Tribolium castaneum: one gene and its partner. The protein of the gene in region 1 purifies or fractionates together with the protein of each later gene. This does not show direct contact. Links are inferred from orthologs where the notes say so. Each region holds a gene or a part of one and is shown on either strand. Other genes may lie near its edges.

Evidence for each region. Proteins that work in one complex are often made in the same cells at the same time.
Region 2: the proteins of Dhx15 (region 1) and Sf3b2 purify together in Homo sapiens (co-immunoprecipitation; 3 studies listed by BioGRID and IntAct, with this or other methods). This does not show direct contact. The link is inferred for Tribolium castaneum from reciprocal best matches to the Homo sapiens genes DHX15 and SF3B2.

What each region holds. Positions count from the first base shown.
Region 1 is NC_087397.1:4,419,744-4,424,042, forward strand, and holds the start of Dhx15 (putative pre-mRNA-splicing factor ATP-dependent RNA helicase PRP1), read left to right. Parts: upstream 1-1,493; 5' UTR 1,494-1,660; coding exon 1,661-1,710; intron 1,711-1,763; coding exon 1,764-2,174; intron 2,175-2,511; coding exon 2,512-3,596; intron 3,597-4,299.
Region 2 is NC_087396.1:14,198,263-14,202,583, reverse strand, and holds the start of Sf3b2 (splicing factor 3B subunit 2), read left to right. Parts: upstream 1-1,470; 5' UTR 1,471-1,617; intron 1,618-1,741; 5' UTR 1,742-1,776; coding exon 1,777-1,876; intron 1,877-1,927; coding exon 1,928-2,154; intron 2,155-2,206; coding exon 2,207-2,388; intron 2,389-2,439; coding exon 2,440-2,641; intron 2,642-2,694; coding exon 2,695-2,871; intron 2,872-3,444; coding exon 3,445-3,677; intron 3,678-3,814; coding exon 3,815-4,169; intron 4,170-4,223; coding exon 4,224-4,321. Other genes in the region: uncharacterized protein LOC103313715, read right to left, coding at 1-1,104. UniProt on the Homo sapiens protein: Component of the 17S U2 SnRNP complex of the spliceosome, a large ribonucleoprotein complex that removes introns from transcribed pre-mRNAs.

The DNA.
Region 1 (4,299 bases):
GCCAAACCTAAAGTGACTGTCAGTTGTGAATGTGACTGTAATTAGGTACGTAACGAGCCTATGATTGAAATAATTTTGATCTGAAGTTGTTTCGATCGTATAATACCCCAATCAACAGACCGGGTCTGTCCGCCTAATTTAAAGTGCTAAGAGAATAAAATCGTGGGTCTACATGCACAGGTGTCTGATTCTCTTCCTGAATTTATTTAATTCTGAAGTGCCTCTTTGCCTTTTCTTTATGAATTAATAAACTGTAAGACGTAAATGTAAATTTTAACATAATTTACTCCCAAACGACAAATATTTTTGATAAAAGAACGTCACATTATTATTGGCTTTTGAGAAATAGTACAAAAAACTTGAAATTATTTTTGTGTCAGCGTACACGAACCACAAAATTGTAACGAAATTTTACACCCTTTATTACACACGCGGTCTCGTAAATTTATTGTAAAAGTGAATATTCGAAAATCTGGAAGTACTTCAGAATGATATTCGATTTTTCCCGTAGTTCAGTAACACTGCACAAGTTCAAAGCACGTGTGTGTTTGAACTTGTGAGTAAGGTACAAGAATTGTAAATTTATCCGTATTTACATCAGTTTAGCTTAAGATCCTTGTTCTTCCTTAAGTGGTTAAAGTGAATAGACTTCATCGAATTACTGTTTAAAATAGAAACTGTTGGACTAAAATTTCGTTTTGATCGTTGTAGATATTAGGAGATAAGTTCGGCTTTTATTTAGTTTAGTTAAATAAATATCTAGGAAATGTTAATCAAAATATACGATTATTATATGATATAGTGAAATATATCGTAACAGTAGATGTCTTAAAATCGATTTCTTTCTGTTATCTGTTATTGCGTTCAGTCAGCAAAAGAGCAATGTCCGTAAATTACCAAATATGCAATACATCACATGCATATCGAGAACTACAATCACAAGAGCCAACCATCACTACTGATTTGCCAACAAAATGAGCTTTTTAAATGATACGGTTAAATGTGGTAATAGACTTAAGATTTCTTAAACTGTATTAATTTTTTACTATTCTTTGTATAACAAGATGGCCAGACGGCACTAACACACTTCATAAACATGTAACTGTGTAAAATTTTAATTAAAAAGTGACGATAGGATTAACAAATTTCATACGTGCTGTACTATAAATGTATTAATTAATTAAAATATATTTTAAATTCAGGGCACAATTAATTACATTACTACTATTTTCGCATCAGAGGCATGTCCCATAAAACAACTTATGCGAAAAATTTTACATGAAGTCGGTTTAAAAAGTTGCAATTAATATGTTTCTCCCCAGAATCAGCAATATTCGCGCAGTACACATAATTTTGACTGACTAAAAACCAAATTATATTATTGTTATAAAGTTTAATTAATAAATTGTTATACGGTGTACAATAATTTCGTGGTTTCATTTTTCCCCTTAATTTTCCAAAAAATTTAAACTCCCGCTTTCGGTCGCCATGCAAATAAACGTCAATAAAACGGCAGCGCTCTGCTCTATCGACCGTGCAAAGTTGCATGGAGTCGTGGTCGTAGTTTTATTTCCAAACAAACTTTAATGCAATTTATTTTTATTTGTTAACAAGTAGACAATTCGAGAGCTTGTTACTATTAGCCGTAGTCTATCTAACAATGTCTAAAAGGAGAATCGAAGTGTTGGATCCGTTTATAAAGAAGAAAAGGTGAGTAACCACAAATGTCACTCAGCCACATTTTCCGCCTCGTGATATTTCAGGGAAGAACGTGGGATTAGCACTGCAGTAACGAACACCCCGCAAGTAACCAACGCCTCAATCAACCCGCACACCGGTTTGCCGTACACCAATAAGTACCATGAGTTGTATCGCAAACGCATCACGCTTCCTGTCTTTGAATACCGCAACGATTTCATGCGTTTGCTCGCCGAAAACCAGTGCATTGTGCTGGTTGGCGAGACAGGGTCGGGGAAAACGACGCAAATTCCACAGTGGTGCGTTGAATTCGCCAGGTCGGTCGGGAAAAAGGGGGTGTGCTGCACCCAGCCCAGGAGGGTGGCTGCCATGTCTGTGGCCCAGAGAGTGTCAGAGGAAATGGACGTCGCCTTGGGGCAAGAGGTGGGCTACAGCATTCGGTTCGAGGACTGCTCGTCGGCCAAAACTATCCTCAAGTAAGAGGGGCTATAAATATTTTCCAGAAACTCTTGTCTTCTTCCCCAATTATGATTATTCCTTGTGAAAAACTAGTTTTTTCCTCGCCGAATTCTATTAAACCTTGTTTTCTGAGGTTTTATTATTTTCAAAATACTCTTTTTCTCTTTTGGACTTAAATTATTGTTTTTTTTTTGAGAAATTTTAATGAATCAGACAGAAAAGTCAGTAAATTGGGTTTGAAATAAAAAAAAAATTGTCGTTTTCGAGCTTTTTATTACGTTTATCATATATTTACAAAAGCAGTTAAGTTAAATTAAGTTAAAGCATAAAAATTACAACTGTGTGATTTAATAGGTACATGACCGACGGTATGTTGCTCCGTGAGGGCATGAGCGACCCAATGCTGGACGCCTACCAGTGCATTTTGCTCGACGAAGCCCACGAGCGCACCCTTGCCACCGACATTCTGATGGGTGTTTTAAAAGAAGTTATTAAACAACGCTCCGACTTGAAATTAGTTATTATGTCGGCGACTCTAGACGCTGGCAAATTCCAGCAATATTTCGATAACGCTCCCTTAATGAACGTCCCCGGTCGTACGCATCCAGTAGAAATTTTCTATACTCCCGAACCGGAACGCGATTATCTCGAAGCCGCCATCCGTACCGTCATCCAAATCCACATGTGTGAGGAAATAGCCGGCGATATTCTCCTATTTTTGACCGGTCAGGAGGAAATCGAAGTTGCTTGCAAACGAATCAAACGCGAAATTGATAATCTGGGCCCCGAAGTGGGCGAACTAAAATGTATCCCGTTGTATTCGACGCTGCCTCCGAATTTGCAGCAACGTATTTTCGAGGAGGCGCCCCCTAATAAGGCCAATGGGGCGATCGGACGCAAAGTTGTCGTCTCGACCAACATTGCGGAGACTTCCTTGACTATAGACGGTGTCGTGTTTGTGATAGATCCCGGATTTGCGAAACAAAAAGTCTACAATCCTCGAATTCGTGTCGAGTCGTTATTGGTCTCGCCGATTAGTAAAGCCTCAGCACAGCAGCGTGCCGGAAGAGCTGGAAGGACTCGGCCGGGGAAATGTTTCCGACTTTACACCGAAAAAGCATACAAGAACGAAATGCAAGACAACACCTATCCAGAAATTTTACGATCGAATTTGGGTTCGGTCGTTTTACAATTGAAGAAACTGGGAATTGATGATTTGGTTCATTTTGACTTCATGGATCCACCGGCGCCTGAAACCTTGATGAGGGCCTTGGAATTGTTGAATTATTTGGCGGCGTTGGATGATGATGGAAATCTCACCGATTTGGGGGCGGTTATGGCCGAGTTTCCGCTCGATCCACAATTGGCGAAAATGCTCATTGCCAGCTGCAACCACAACTGTTCCAATGAGATACTGTCCATTACGGCGATGTTGTCAGGTATTTATTTTATTAACGTTTTTCTGAAGCAGGCCCTCAGCCCTTGCTTTAAACGTCGATTTGGTTATTTATTCCGATTAGACTCATTCAAAATAATTTTTTCATTTTCACTGTTTTGGTTTATTTAATTGGCAGCGTTGAATGTACTTTCACTACTTGCCACATAACAAACCTCAAAAGAATTAAAGGTTCCCATTTTTAAACGATTTTACCACAGTATTTATGCTTGGAGACTAATAAGTAATAAATTATATTTTTGATTTTGTGGTAGTTGATGCCGAATAATAGTCGGAGCAAAAAACCATTATCGTTATTAATGAACTAAATTTTTTGTTGAATATACGACTCAGCCAATTTCCGAAACCTCCGTAATCAATAATTCAAACGCTTGTGCAAAACAATATTTTTTAAAATGTTTATTAGATGCATCTTAATGTTGATTTTGTTTAATGAAGAATGAAAGTGGTTTGTTGTCCATGAATTTTACTTTATCAACTGCTACCTGTTTATTGGTCTGTTGTCACGCGGGTTCGTGTTATTCGGAACGATTTTCGAGCAAAACCGCTAGTAATATAGCTAATAAATGCTTGAAATAACAGACATTGAACAGAACAGAACACCACAATGTTGTGGTTTGTTTTGCTCGAGTCGTTCTGACTAAGGTAGCTCTGTAGGAAACGCTTGAGAGCGCAACTATATTGGT
Region 2 (4,321 bases), on another chromosome or scaffold:
CTCGTCCAACTCAATGACAGGCACATTTTGTTTTTTGTCCTTTGATGTTTCAGATTTTTTTTCTTTTTTCGCCGTTGAAGCAACAAAATTAAATTTGGGCAAATCAATGGTAGGACTGATCTTCTCTGTAGTAGTCTTTTCCTGCACTTCAATGTAGCTTGAACTTCCCTCATCTTCATTCACAGGACTCAAGTTTACAGACTTGCAATTTTCAAAAGATTTTGAATCTTCAATTTCCCTAAACGAAGAAAACTTTCCTTTCCCACTTTCGTCCGCTTCCAAAGAAGACAAATTCTGTTTTTTGGTCTTTGGTGTCTTGCTTGAAGCAACAAAATTGGGGAAAGTACCATTGCTAGGACTATTTTTCTCTGTAATACGTCCATCTTGTGTACTCTTCTCGTTGACTTCAATGTAGCTTGAACTTCCCTCATCTTCATTTAAAGGGCTCAAATTTACGCTCTTGCAATTTTCTGACGGTTCTTCAAGAGATTTAAAATCTTCAATGTCTCTAAACGAAGAAAACTCTCCTTTCCCACTCTGTCTTTTGACCTTTGGTGTCTTGCCATGTTTATTTTCTTTTTTCACGTGTCCATCTTGAGCCATTTTCTCCGTGACTGTGATGAAACGTGAACTTCCCTCACCATCACTCACAAGATTTACAGAATTTTCGGAAGATTTCTCCTTCAAACTTTTTGTAGTGAGATCTAATGTCTCATCATTGCACTTGTCTTCCAGTTCACATTGCTTGGTACTCCTAAGAACTCTCTTAGCTTTGACGATTTTTCTTTTATTTTTTGGTACAGGTGGCGGCGAGATTTTTTGAACTTCCTTGAACAAAAAAGGGCTTCCTTTGTCACTTTTCCCGCTCTCATCGAACTCCAAACGAGGCAAATTCTGTTTATTATGCTTTGACGACGTTGGCTTAATATTTTCGTCTTCTTTTTCCACTGCAGAAGCATTAAAACTGAAGAAAAGCAAATCGTTCGTTTTTCTGACTTTTCGTCCACTTCTTGTTGCTTTGGCACTGCTTAAGGGGCCACTGGTGCTTTCCATTTCAGGTGGATTTAGTTTTTTATTTAAACGTCTGCTGGACCTCACTGACATTTTAATGCAAGCTATAAAACAATTTTTATGTAATTTTCGTATCAAAAAAACTCGGTTTTTACCTTTAACGTTGTGTTAAATCCAATTATTCGCTTTTTATAGTAACTTTACAGTAAACAAGGCACACAAATGACAAACCGACAACAAAACCGTTTTTTTGAATCTGACATTTGAGATTGAGATGCGTGATTGGTCCAAATTAGATTGGCATCTTGTTTGAAAAATAAATTGATTAAATATTTATAAATTATTGTATTTACAAGATGTTAATAGAGAAAGTTGTAACTAACTGGATAAATAACTACTACATTTGATTTATTCTGTATGAAAATTTTGGGAAATGTTTTCGCTTTTGCAGGAAATCGAGCTGTCGCGATTACGGTCGCATTCGCTCTAATTCCAAACAAAAATGTCGACCGAAACGTTGCTGAATGCCGCAATAAATTATTAATAATATTAAAAGTTTGCGGTTTTTCCTCATTGTAGATAAAATTTAACAGACTATCTGTTATAGTAAGTTCGCTTCTTGCTTTGATTCAAACATTTTTTAAGAAATTAGTATGAGAAAGAGGTTATATCAAATTGAGAAAAGTGCTTTTTAGTGTTAGAACAATTCCATAATCCCGTCTCCTTTCAGCTTACGGCTGCAACAAGCACTGATTCTACTGACAAATGAATCCGGATCAGCTACAAGAGGGTGTCCCGGAGCACCCTGTGCCCCACCAGGAAGGGATGTTTGGGTCAGGTATGCAAGGGTGGGCTGGTGAACATGGTAATTGATTGTTTTCAACCAGTTTGTTTATATCGCATTGGACTATTTCAGGTGTTGGTGGTGAAAAACAACTCCCCTCATTGCTATCCCTAAAAGTGGATCCTCCTGATCAGATGATGGAGACGCCACCAACTGAAGTTGTTTTACCTCAAGTGTTGGAAGAGGTGTTGGCGTTAAAAAATCAGAGAGCGCGTGAACTAGAACGAGAAGAAACGGAAACAGTAGTTCAACAGCCGCAGACTCCTAGAGAGGCGCTTTGGGAGAAAGATGACAATATTGTAGCTTTTTTAATTTTTTGTATGAATATAGTTATAACGATTGTTTTTTTAGGAACCCGTGGTTGAAAATGAAGAAGAGAGTCAGGTGAAAGAGACCACCAAAATCAGTAAGAATAAAAAGAAGAAGAAAAGGAAGAAGAACAAGAAAAACAGGGAGAATGAACAGAATAAAGCGGCTGAAGAGGAGGAGAAAAAGGATGGGCAAGAGGATGGGAATACAGATGTGGAAGTTGAGTAGGTGTTTTTTCTATTTGTTTGACAAAATTGTTATGAGTTTAATTAAAGGTACGTCCAAGAGACGATTAGTCTTCTTGAACTGGCTCCACAATACCGGCAGTTTTATAGCATTTTTGACGTGTTTAAAATAACTGATCAAAAGCATGATATCCCACCCCCAGTTCTGGCAACGCCAACATCATTGTCAAGTAAATCAATGTTAAATAGCATAGGAGATCACTTTCAGGAAGAAATGGAAGATGGGGACGACGTAAGTGTTGTATTACATTATGAATAAAAAATATGTATCTATTTTTTTTTCAGAAAAAGCTTGACGATAAGTCAAAAATGTCCAAAAGAAAGCTTAAAAAATTGACGCGACTTAGCGTCGCCGAGCTTAAACAACTAGTCAGTAGACCAGACGTTGTAGAAATGCACGATGTAACAGCCAGGGACCCAAAATTGTTGGTCCAATTGAAAGCTCACAGAAATACCGTTCAGGTAACGATTATAATTTTCTCAAAAATTAAAAGTAATGCAGCCATTCCATGATTACGGACGGCACATAACTATTATTTTAAAAATGGCTTATTAAAAAAAAAAGATGGATTAACAATTTAAATTCATTTTGCCACTTCTAAAAGTTGTTATAAATAATTAGTTACGGATGGGACACAAAAAATTATGCTTTGTAACAATTTTATTATAACACGAAAATGTTAACAAAATTCAGGAACTACTAACAATTAATAAAAAAAGAGAATACCTTTTATTAAATTATTATTAAGAATAGAATTAAGTCGTAAGCTTTGGAAAAATAATTTTCGTCACTACTTCCAATTTGAAAACTCTTAATTTTGCGCACATATAGAATTCTGTAGCATTATTAATTATTATTTTCTTTAGACGAACTTTGTTCCAAACTAAACATTTTACTGAACGCATAAGAAGCAAGGATTTGAATTTTTTATTAAAAAGTGATGTTTTGGAACAAACTTAACAGATTTTTCATAATAATAAAGCAGATGAAAATATATGCGGAGTTAGCAATTGGCTGAATAATGTGTTTTTCAGGTACCACGTCATTGGTGTTTCAAACGAAAGTACTTGCAAGGTAAACGTGGTATAGAGAAACCACCTTTTAATCTTCCAGATTTCATTAAAAGGACTGGAATCATGGAAATGCGTGCGTCATTGCAAGATAAGGATGAATCCAAAACACTCAAAGCTAAAATGCGGGAAAAGACCAGACCCAAACTTGGAAAAATCGATATTGATTATCAAAAATTACACGACGCATTTTTCAAGTACGTTTTTTTTATTTTTGATAAAAGCTAAAATTGCTATTGTTTGTAATTGTGTATTCGTAGAGATTGGGAATAATTGAAAAAGATAGACAGCTGTTTATTTAGAATTTTTTTTATAATCTCATTGTTATTGTTAGGTGGCAAACTAAACCCAAAATGACCATCCATGGGGACCTTTATTACGAGGGCAAAGAGTTTGAAACCAGATTGAAGGAAAAAAAGCCTGGAGATTTATCAGAAGAATTAAGAACGGCCTTAGGAATGCCTGTGGGCCCTAACGCTAATAAAGTACCCCCACCATGGTTGATTGCAATGCAACGTTATGGTCCCCCACCCAGCTACCCCAACTTGAAAATTCCGGGATTAAATGCCCCCATCCCTGATGGTTGTGCCTTTGGGTACCATGCCGGTGGGTGGGGAAAACCACCGGTGGACGAAAATGGAAAACCATTGTACGGTGATGTGTTTGGAACAAATGTTACCAACATAGATGTAAGTATTTTATAATATTGTTTTATTGAATTTTGTTCAAATATCAATGTTTAGGACATTGGTGAGGACCCTTCCGTGGATCGCACCCTCTGGGGCGAGCTCGAGTCCGAATCAGAGGAGGAGGATGAGGAAGAGGAGGAAGACCAAGACAA